3 linked regions of the Drosophila melanogaster genome follow. The protein of the gene in region 3 interacts with the protein of the main gene of each other region in a pairwise test. Each region holds a gene or a part of one and is shown on either strand. Other genes may lie near its edges.

Evidence for each region. The genes of interacting proteins can lie anywhere in the genome.
Region 1: the proteins of CG17107 (region 3) and Cht6 interact in a two-hybrid assay, tested with the Drosophila melanogaster proteins (one large-scale study listed by BioGRID).
Region 2: the proteins of CG17107 (region 3) and CG14642 interact in a two-hybrid assay, tested with the Drosophila melanogaster proteins (one large-scale study listed by BioGRID).

The regions. Positions count from the first base shown.
Region 1 is NC_004354.4:10,014,999-10,019,884, reverse strand, and holds the start of Cht6 (chitinase 6), read right to left. Parts: upstream 3,041-4,886; 5' UTR 2,982-3,040; intron 2,348-2,981; exon of another isoform or gene 2,268-2,347; 5' UTR 2,162-2,267; coding exon 2,153-2,161; intron 1-2,152.
Region 2 is NT_033777.3:4,240,505-4,244,669, reverse strand, and holds CG14642 (uncharacterized protein), read left to right. Parts: upstream 1-1,952; 5' UTR 1,953-1,974; coding exon 1,975-2,332; intron 2,333-2,396; coding exon 2,397-2,512; intron 2,513-2,582; coding exon 2,583-2,692; intron 2,693-2,750; coding exon 2,751-2,915; exon of another isoform or gene 2,916-2,971; coding exon 2,972-3,401; 3' UTR 3,402-3,417; exon of another isoform or gene 3,418-3,470; intron 3,471-3,537; 3' UTR 3,538-3,625; downstream 3,626-4,165. Other genes in the region: CG34305 (uncharacterized protein), read left to right, coding at 1,534-1,548, 1,611-1,835; Gel (gelsolin), read right to left, coding at 3,733-3,792, 3,956-4,081, 4,146-4,165.
Region 3 is NT_033779.5:10,680,308-10,683,029, reverse strand, and holds CG17107 (uncharacterized protein), read right to left. Parts: upstream 1,065-2,722; 5' UTR 1,040-1,064; coding exon 749-1,039; 3' UTR 502-748; downstream 1-501. Other genes in the region: CG17105 (uncharacterized protein), read right to left, coding at 1,672-1,983.

The DNA of each region.
Region 1 (4,886 bases), on a different chromosome or scaffold from region 3:
CCTTTCCATGACTTCGAGGCGGATGTACCACCTCCGGGGTCAGATGATACGTATGAATTCATCCGAGATCAGCATCATTGGGATGTAATTTTTCAATATGAACGCGGACCTAGATGGCTTGCAGCTCGTCATCACTTAATGATTTAGCTTATTTTTTTTTTTTTTTGGGATATTTGAAATATGAATGAATCATGAGCTTTTAGTTGCTCCTAATATCATATAATGTATATATAATTTTGTTTTCACAGTGCTCTTAAGGTAATAATCATCTGAAGAAGTAAAGCAGCCACTTGGAAAGGGTATTGAATTGAAAATCAGACACTTGAATAGACCGACCGACTGATTTAATGCATGCATATGGCTGATGGAGGAGGATCGGAATGGATTGGATTGGACTCGTCTTGCTTTTCAGTTCACTGTCATTGTCTTTTGGGTGCGGCTGCAACGCGTTGGCGTTGCAACTTGCAATGTTGCAGTTGCAGTTTTGCTGTTGCATGAATTTGTAAATAGCAATTTTCGCTGGCTTATTTTCTGGGGCTGGGCCACCGATTTCCGGCTGATATTTTTCCTTTATTTTGTTGAAGAAAACAAAAGCCGAAGACGATTTCCTCTTCTCACGCATTTTTGCGGCCTGACGTCAAACGGATTGGCGGAGATGAGACACATCATTTTGGCTAGTCTTGGCAGCACTTGTCGCCAAACTTGTTTCGCCCCCGCGGGCCCACAGAAAAAAACGTGGCCGAAAATAAAATAAGTTCAAGCCGAAAATTGACAAAAATAACAAAAAAAAAAAAAAAAAAAAAACAGCCATCAAAAATAACACAATTCCTAAACGGGTTTTATGCGCATGCGCAGCAGCAAATTTGCATGAGCAACAGAAATATCATAGGTTCGGTTTGGGCCAGAAATATGCCTCATCGAAGGTCCAAGCGGATGTAGAGCCTCGTTTCGATTCGATTTGCGGCCCCCTCAAGCTAGCGAAGCTAGTGAAATTGTAAAATAGTAAAAGTCTGGGATGTATCTCTAAATAGCAATAAGTAGACACCATCATCTTTTAATATGCGTGCAATGTATCTCGCAGCGATTTCGCGATTCGTGTTTGAAAGTTTTCAGTTTTGAGTTTTGCACTCGATCGCTTCGATTAGCATGGGAATTGCAATCGTGTTGACGTCTTTGGCGTCTTCAAAAGTGTTAATCGGTTGAAAGTGGTGGCTTACATAAGGCGCGAGATCGTAAAAATGATTTTTAGATCAATTTATGTGGGCGTGCATATCTCATTCCTCTCACTTTTTGACGAATTCCCCACCTGAATGATAACCAATCGACCTGAACTTTCGATCAATTAATTAATCAAAGATAGTTCGTAGATATGTCCAACTTAGTATTTATGAATTTTAATGCAAATTAACCATAAAATATTTGATTCCGAATTCATATGCAAATACAAAATGCATAATTGTATGAGTCGTAAAAATTCTTTAAGATCTAGATAGCTTATCTTGATCTAGTTGATTACAAATTTCAAACATTTTTGAAATTCCAGCACTTAGTCTGTTTAGTAGCACATAAACTATAAAAACGAATTCCCTAAACTTTTACTTTTGATAGAACTATTACTTAACACGTCGAAAACTCATATTCTGATGAATTCTTCGCGCCCAGCACGATGTGTCACACAAATTAATTATGCAATCATCTAAGAGAGACATTTTAATATCAAGTTAAACCAGGCAAACGAAATCGAAAACGCGGCCTCCATGAATTATTCAAATCAACGAGAACGAAGAGTAACCAGTTTGGCAATCTTTCCTGATCTTTCGCCTTTTTTCACTCAAGGATAACAGCTTTCGAGCGCGGATCCTGCCAAGGTTGTTTTCAACGAAATAAATCACAGCCTTTTTAAGCTGGCCAGGAAATCCAGTCGATATAGCCGAACTGGTCTAAATATTTACTACTTTTCGCCAGATTTGCGCTAATTGCGTACAAAATGCAGGCCACAAAAGCGGCAAAAAGAAACAAAAATGCGAAATAAAAATGATTTTTCAGTTTTGCAGTTAATGTCGAGAGTTGTTTTGTGGATTTTTGTTCAATTTTTTTTATTTTTTTTCTTTTTTTTCTTTTTGCTCTCTTATATATCGCTGCAACCACTTACCGGAAGCATTTTGGCGGCTTTTTGCTGGTCGAGGTGGCAATACAAGGCTCCTTTGGGCTAGATGTTGTTACTGTTGTTGTTGTTGCTGCTGCTGATGTTGCTGTTGCTGCTGCTGCTGCTCTCGTTGTTGTTTTTATTGTTGTTATAATTTGAGTTAAACGCGACGACAACGACGAGGAGGAAAAAATAACGCTAAGATTTAGTGTGAGATTTTTTTGTCGTTAGCTTTTCGAAAATATTTGCTCAGAAAACTGGGCTAAATGCGGTTGCAGTTAGCAGTTGCTGCTGTTGTTGCTGCTGCTGCTGCTGCTGGTCTGTCTGTATTTTATGCAATCTGCACAGATCTTGGCTGAATGCTCCACTGCCTCCCAGCAGCAGCAGCCAAATAAAAAAAGCAACCCAAACAGCAACTACTAGAGATGCCGAAAAAAAAGGCAGAAAACCAGGCCGAAAGTAAAAACTGTTACACACGTCTGCGCATTCAGTTTTTCACTTTCGGCCAGGCGCGGCGGCGTCGGCGGTGCTCTTTTTGGCCCAATATAACTGAATAACTAAATCCGCACACATATCAAATCGCAGAAAAACTATCTGCCAAATTATCCACATTCACTCGAGGCACGCAAATTGAACAAGAAAAAAAAAAACAACTACCAAGCTAAACAGAAAAGCAAAAAAAATGCAAGAAAAGTTCCAGCCACGAACGAATTCAACAAACAAAAAAACAAACAAAAAAAAAAAAAAAACAGTAGAAACGATTGACTATATAAACAGAGTGTATCTTTTTTCGTATGCACGGCCAATGGCGAGTTACCGCTAAAGCCAACAATACCGTTCGAGAGTCGCCGCTGCACTGAATCCGTTTGGTGGCCAAAAAGCGTGGCCAACAGCAACCAGAAACCAGCAACATGCGACATAACAGAGGCCAAGCAGCAACAGCAGCAGCAGCAGCGGCAGCAACTAGCAACACCAAGCAACCAGTTGCTGCGCAGCCGCAAAAGCCAGTTAAAGTCTGTTAAACCAGTTAACATGGCACTTTTGGCCAAGTTAACAACTGCCAGGCAGCGGGCGAGAAACACGTACGTAAACGCTGCAAACAAAACGCAGTTCTTGGGCCCTAAAATTACACACAAAAGCCAAGAAAAACTAAATGGTGCGGCTTTAATTTGCTTCATGACCAGAAATAAAAAATTATCAATTATGGACACACTTTTGCGGTTTGAGCGTTAAATGGCAGTGAAATCGTTCACTAATTGTTGGCCATAATCGAGGTAAATGGATTTAGGGTTGTGCAAGACATTCTTGCTGTAGATTTTAATAAATGACAATTTTTACAGACATAAAAGGTATATATTAATGTTAAAATAAAATGATTGTTATGATTTTTCTATATTGATTAAGAGTTCAAAAGGGCTTAGCTTAGGTGATTCCCCTTAAAATACACAGCTCGAAATTAATTTAAATCAATTTATACAGCCATGGCAGCGATTTGTTGAAAATAGATATGTAAAATAGGAGTATATTAATGATGTTTCTTTATAAGATATTTCTAAAAATAGATTAAAAATAATTTAAATAATTACAATTAATTTAATTTAATATCAATTAATAGTACTTTTTCATTCCTTTTAATGTTCGATTCGATTATTTAATAACTTTTAATTATAGCCATAGAAGTAATTTCATTTCGCCCAAGTTGAAAGGTGTATAATTTGCTAATTTTGTCTTAAAGCGTTTATCATAGGTACAATTATAACCTATTAAGCTAAATTTGTGCAATTTTCGGTGGAAATTTGTGCGAAAGTTAAAGCCCATCAGTCAGCGCATCTTCCCACAGATTTGAGCCGCTTTATAGACAAATGGCCCGAGGTTTTTGTGGATCATCTTGTGATTGGAGTGTTCAATCTATTGCAACAGGTGATGTTGTTGTTGTTGTTGTTGCTGCTGCTGCCCGAAGATGCTTAATGGGCTTAATTTGTTGCGCACACACAAGTGGAGGGAGATGATGGAGGGTGTTTCAAAAAAAAAAAAAAAACCACATTTTGGGTTTGGCCGGAACTCAAAATCAATTCAGTGCCCAATAATATTGTGGCTGACCTTTGTTTTGGACCCACTCTCCACTCCACAACAGTCCACACCATTCCCTATACCCAATAACGAATAATACCCAATGGCCCGGTTAGAGAAAAAAGAGTTTACATAATAAGCATTAAATGCTGTCATCGAAATGCCAACGGCTGCCAAGCGGCGGCGCGAAATGAATTTCAAATATTTTATCAAGCGATTTGTTTATGCCCATTAGTGTTGTTGTCCCCCCCCCCCCCCCTTCGACTGTTACTGTTACTGCTCTTGGCCTTCTTCCTCTTTCTCCCTGTTGTCACTCCACTCCCAATTTACGAGTATTCGTCTTTCACATACCATATCCATCTGACTGTGTCCGCTTTCTGCCCTCCAATGGTTATTTTGGTGTTTTCGGACTCTTCAATGGTGTATCAATGATATCAATGGGTATATGGGTTATATCAGGGATGTGGTAAAAAAAACTACCCTACTACTACTACTTCTGCTACTAAAAGTACTAACACAGACATTAGAATAGTTATTCTAACTACAACTTCTACTTCTACGACTATCTTAACTTCTACTTATACTACTATCTTTACTTCTAGTACTATTACTACTAATTCTGCTACTACTACTACTACTACTACTATCTTAACTTCTACTTATACTACTA
Region 2 (4,165 bases), on a different chromosome or scaffold from region 3:
CCCTCGCGCCATAGGAAAGAGGCTTAGAATCTGAAATTGTTTGATGGTTACACAAAGTGCGGAATAAATGCTTTGTGTTCTTACTAGAAAGATGCGCATCGTGAATACTTGTATCTACTTGTGGGTGGCTAAATACATTTTTTGTGCGGGCAGTTCGGCAGATGGGTTTCCTTTGCCGAAGATTACATTTGGTCGACGCTTTTATACGTTACTGTTCCAGTGGCTTTTCTGATGCAAGCAATCATTTGTAAGATGGAGAATATGCAAATCTATTGAAATTAGGGAGACGTAGGCCTATTTGATAATTCAGCCCATTTTCATTGCATATTATAGAGCAAATAAGGAAGAAGTAACATTATAAATTATAACAAAAAGCTTTGAGAGTTTGTGCGGACATGCCATATAAAATGTTCTCCTAGTGTTCTTTGTAATGATAATTTAAACACATTTTAAATATTTTATATTCTTTATTCGAATGTTACTTTAAAAATGCTCTGATACTTAATTGTAGTATTTGTCATTTTATGCATTTAGGCGAACTTCTTCCTCAACAAAAATGTGCACTTCACGACATATACTTTCAATTCATATTTCTTCAAGTAAAGTTTCCGACTATTTTGTTATCGTTTTTCCATTTTTTAACCTTTTGTTCATTAGTTGATTAACTAATGTACTGCAGAAACAACATTCGCGTATTTGAACCACCTATTTGCTAAACAACTTTTAAGTCATTATAAGTAAGCCACTAATATTCACAAAGGTGTCATATAAAAGCAGTCCGGCGGCCATATAACTGAAAAGCGAGTTTTTTTTTTTTTTTTTGGTAAGTGTCATCAGATGCTTGCTGTTTTTGATAAAATAACTGAAAAACTTGTTTTGCGTCCAACAGAGCACACAGTAAACTCTAAGGGGAAGAGCAAATCGATTTTTAACAAAAAGAAAACATTCACAGAACTACCCATTTTATAGTTCATGTTAAGAATATTTCTCTTGAGAATTGAAAAATTCGCTACATAGAATAATCACTGTATATATATATATATGTACATAATATACAATATATACATGTTTCAAGTTCATCAAAGCAAGTTATCACAGGTTCACACCTAACGAGAATACATGTTTCAACTTAATATTTTATCAATTTATTGAACACTTTTATACTGGATCCCATTAGGTTTTTAATTATGTAAGCATGTTATACACTGCACTATAAAATGTATAGTTCAAATTTAACTGTTTATAATTTTTAATTATAAGTTGATGTCGTAAAAAATGGTTTTAACCACTCAAAACATGTATAGAAAATTTAAATCGCTTGGTTATGAACCCATATCATCTGAGTCATATTTAAATTGGGTTTTGAGTCAATATAAAAAGTGAAATAAAAACATTTTTATGCAACGGCACACATTGATTTTCAAAAATTAAAATATTATTTTCTGTAAGTGCACGCATTGATTGTTTAAGCTTTGTATAAAAGAGATGTATGCAAGGGCGCAAGGCTTAGTCCGTTTTTGAGTTTTCGACAAAATGAAGATACTCAACGTAAGTATGCACAAATTAATGAGCGGAACTGCTCCTAATGGCTCCCATCGCTGTCCACACAGTTCATAATCCTGCTAGTCCTGGTGACCATCGCTCTATCAGCCCCCGCTGCCGCCACAGACAATGCTCCTACGGTATCCGTGCTGCGCTACAAAGATGATCGGGATTTGGCTAATATTCAGCGGGCAATTATTGCGCAGTACGAAAGAATTGGCGGCACCACTAAGGTTCATCAGCCACTGACGGCCAATATCGTCAACCCAGCAAGCCTTGGAATTGTCATTTAATGCTCGTCAAAAATAAATTGTTTGTATTTGTGATTGTTAGCCCCGCTGATAAGACAGAGCTGCGTGCCTTTTGGGATTAACCGACCCGCAGAAGTTTTAGTCTGCTCTTGACACTCGCCGCGTTCGCAGAGCCCTTACGATGCTTCGCAATCTGTCCGTGTGTCTGATATCATTTATCGGGCTCTGGTGCCTGAGCAATACTCACACCCAGCGCCTGCCCCCAGAAGGGCGAATGCGCCCCTTGCAAGACGACTCGATCCGCTCTCCCGTGGACCGCGACATAGTCTTTCCGGAGTTAGACGCGGGACCAGGCAAGCCCGAGGAGAAGATGTGGTTTCACATAACAGACTTTCAATTTGATCGGGTGGAGGGCCCGACCCAGCCCAAGCCCAAGCCCAGACAATACCCCCCGCCGCCGATGCCCGGCCAGCCCTTTCCGCCGCCCCCCGGGGGCTTTAAAAAGAAGGAAAACAAGCAACGCCGCCTCTGCGAGCAAAGTAAGTAATTCGAGTGTTCAGCCATTCGATGGTTCGTGAGTCATTGACTGAGTTTATCACCAAGAATATTCCGAATATGTGGAGCGCATCTTTCCCAATGATACCGCAGTGGCTGCCGATGCCAACGACGCAGACTTCGATGGTCGGGTCCTGGCCCGGCCCGGTGAGTACCCACATATGGTACGAAACTAGGTAGCTGATAAGCCTCTACTGAGGAACTAACCCAAGCCCCTCGAATCTGTTTTCGTAGGCTGCCGTGGGCTTCGAGTCGGACAGAGGGCAAGTGGACTACAAATGTGGCGGCAGCTTGATAAGCGAGAGATTCGTGCTTACCGCAGCCCACTGTACATCCATATACGAGTGAGCATGCCAGTTAGCCCCCTGACCCCCAGTCCCGTGACTGTAATTTTCCTCTTAGGGCGCCCCCCAAGTGGGTTCGCATCGGGGACCTTGACCTGGCCTCCGAGAAGCGGTCGGTGGAGGCCCAGCTGCTTCGGATTGAGCAAGTGTTCGCGCACCCAAATTACAAAAAAAAGATGTACTATGACGACATAGCCCTACTTAAGCTGGAGAAGGAAGTGGAGTGGGTACCCAACAAGACAGAAGTGCGACCGCTGTTTGCTAACACGATTCTCTAAGACTGACGGAATACGTTAGACCTGTCCGCCTGTGGGTCTTTCCAGAGCTGCCCACTACGATAGCCTTCGCAATGGGGTACGGCGCAACGAGCTTCGCCAAGCCCATGACGAACCGCCTCACAAATCTTAACCTGACCGTAGTGCCGAACGCTGAGTGCAACGCCGAGCTGCCGCCTCTTGCTGAAACTCCCAGTGGAGTTCTGGAAAGCCAGATCTGCGCCCAGGACTACATTCTCAACAGAGACACTTGCCAGGGGGACTCGGGTGGACCCCTACAACTGAATTTGCCGGGTCGGCGCCGAGGGCATAGAATACACTATCACCTAATTGGCATCACCTCATACGGCGTGTTCTGCCGCAGTAGTTACCCATCAGTTTACACCAGAGTGTCTTCTTTCTTGGACTGGATCGAACTTACTGTTTGGGCCTGACAGATGCCTACATCAGGTTTGTATGATGTTGATGAAATTTAAGCCAAAATATATATTAAAAGAAATGGTATATTCTTTCCATTTATATTTCGATTCTTCCTATGGCATCTGTGTGTATGTATATGGACCAATCTAGCCCAACAACTATTTTCACAGGAGATATTTAAATACATTGCTACAACATTACACTAGTGAATTGTAAAAATAAATTGTGCTAAACAGTGGCCATATTGAAATTTATTTTAAAGTTATATTAGATAAACATAGGTGTTAGAAAGGCAAAAACAAACATATTTTTTGGTAAATTTTGCTGAGAATTGAATCATTGGTTTTAGACTTCATTGTTGGCATCAATAACAAGTTGCTTCATGTCTTCATAGCTGGGCTGGTTCTACGAGACCAAGAAAAGGGTTAAAAATACATAGAAATTATATAAATCTATTGTGTAGCGACTTTACAATTAAGAGAATAGGCCATCAGCATTAGTAATCAGCTTACTGTACAAGCAAGCAGTTAAACGAAGACAAACTCTAGGTCTGGTTTGGATCACGTACCTGCCAATAATTATCGTCCCAGTTGGGGAACATGCGTTTGAAAACCCTTGGTTCCTTGCCCTGGGGGACGCGAATGATGCTCACCGTGTCGAAGGAGCGGGCGGTAGGCTCTAAATTAAAGTAAAGCTGTAAATCAAGAAAAGACGTATAATTAGACGTGATAGAAAGCGATGGTGGGAAACGAGAAAACCTTTGCCGTGTCCAGAAGCT
Region 3 (2,722 bases):
ATTACTGTACGATTAAGGGGTATAAAACTAGTTTTATTTCGGAAAGGTTTGGCTACCGTAAACGTAGAAACTTATCCAGATGTTGATAATTTGCAAATTTAAATATTGCAAACCCGAGTTTTAAGAAGCTTGACAATATATCAAGAGACGTCGGACTTCATTTGTGAAAAAATATCTTCGATTTATTAGACCTGCTGAAATTGAGTGTGTCACTCCGTAAGTGGCCAAATTCAAGACTTGTTGTGGGTGGCAAATGCAATTACTTAATTACATAAAAAAAGTAATCACACAAAAAAAAAAAACTCACAAATTGTTTGGATTTCCGGGTAAGCTGTACAAACAAATGATGAATGAAATGAGCTTAATGATTTTAAATATAAAAATAAATTAAATTAAAATTGAGATGCACTAACTATTTGCAAAAACTATATATATATAATGCATACTTTTCAGTTGTAATTCAAGTTGTTAGATACATTTTAAAACATAGTTTCTAATATTAGCTCCCGCTGTTAACTTAGTCTGTTTTTAGGAGGCTAGAGAAATCTTGTTTGACGTCATTAGATCTATAAATAATGCCCGACTCATAAACTGGTTATTAACCTAATATACGAAAACAACATCTTGGATTTCCAAAAACAGAATTAGCATTTTAATATTTATTGGTATTGGTATTGGTTTCAGTTTAGTAGGTCTGTCAGCGGACGTGCCCACTTTTCGAGAGTACAGTTATGAATCCGTTTCGAGCCTATCCATGTCTGCCATGTCCACCTCCACCTCCTCCGGAGCTGGCGTTGGCGGTTGCAGTGGCCGAGGCCGAGGCGGAAGCTGGGCCGCCTCCTCTGCTGTCGGCGGTTGCAGCGGCATTCGCGTTGGCAACTGCGTTCGAACCGCCGACTCCACCGACTCCACCGCCTCCACCGCCTCCACCGCGACCACCGCCACCACCGCCTCCACCGAATCCGCCGAATCCACCAGGATGTGCCTGAACGGCCACCAGGGCGAAGATTAGAAAAATGCAGATAGCCAGGAACTTCATCGTTAGAGATTGCGATGTTTTGTGATCGCGTGCTGGCCTCTTTTATACCAGCATCCGTGACAGGTGGACGACTTGTTTATCTGAAAAACAAAAAAAATCACAGAATCGATATTGTATCGGCATATATATGGGGGCTTCGATTAGCACATTAATTAGACATATATTAAAAACGCATGACGTTTAATATTACCTATATGTATAGTATATGCTTATATACTATGTTATCAATAATTGAAAACTGGTTAGCTTTGGCAAGCCATGTTTTGGTAAAGTATATTTTCAGGCTGTAAAAAAGCTCAGATAAATTCATTATGATAATCAGCTATAAAAACTAGTTTATCATGTAAGTCCTTAGATTTGCTTCTGTTTACACATTTTATACAAAATTCCTTTTCCGGTGATTACAACTTTTGAACCCGAAAATTATATATATATTCTTCACTTAATAAATAATAATTAAAAATTAATAAATTTATATTTATAGTATATTATACATAGAAGGTAAGGCCATTGTGTTGATAACGTTTGGCAAAAGTAATAATAGAAAAATGTCTTAGTCTTTATGCAATAATTATGCATTTGTTTATTTTTTAAAGCAATTGCCGTTTCTGGACTGCTGTTATCATCATTCCTTATCCGTAGTAAGCACCCGGACTGTAACCAACTGAGTTTGCGTTTGCATTAGCGTTGGCAGTGGCTACTGCGCCTCCACCACCACCGCCGTAGCTACCGGGTCCGCCGTAGCCACCGAGTCCTCCGTAGCCACCGGGTCCTCCATAGCCACCGGGTCCTCCGAAACCAACGCGTCCTCCTAAGCCGCCAAGTCCTCCCAAGCCACTGAGTCCACCGTGTCCTCCGTGTCCAAAGCCACCGTGTATACCAGGATATCCTTGGACTGCCACAATGGCAAGGAGCAGGATAGCGCAGAGTGCATATAATTTCATCGTGGGATGTCCCACTATCCTGTGTTTTTTTTTTTTCGTATGACAACTTAATTTCCATAATGAAACAAAGAAAGCAAAAATAAGTCTACTTAACTTGTTAACAATGGTTAACTAGAGCTTAAATATATAAGTGGCATAGTTTTCGGCTGTAACAGAAGTTGTTTTTATTTTCTGCGAATGAAGCTTTTATAGCCAGAGCTTACTGTAGCAAGCATACAGTGAGAAATATTTGCGAATCTTTTTGTTTTACAAATCAATCTACTGTAGTAATTTGGGTCATTAAATGTCCAGGATAAATTTATTCATAAGCAAGGAAAATGGAGAGATAGAGAAATTACTTCAATGTTATGATAGAAATAACTAATCTATTAATTTCATTTCTGCAATTGTGGTTACCATCTTAATATATATATTTTTCTTCATCCCGTTAAGCTTATGACTAACTGCCTGATATCGGTACATCCCACGACCTAGAGCTTACTAAGTCAGTTGGCTTAGTAAATAAAGGCCAGTTAAGTGGCCAAAAAAAAAAAAACCCGTATCGCCAAAACCTTCGATCCGCATTCATTCGAACCATATTCAACATGCAGTTTAGCGACTGCCGCTCAAGTTCAAATGGAAATTAGCGCTTGGTGTTTGTTTTATAGCCGATTGCTTTCAAATTCCATCGAGGGTGAGGCATAGCAAACGTGATACTCATTGCAAAACCCCCAAAAAAGCCCTGTGCTTCTTCATGGAT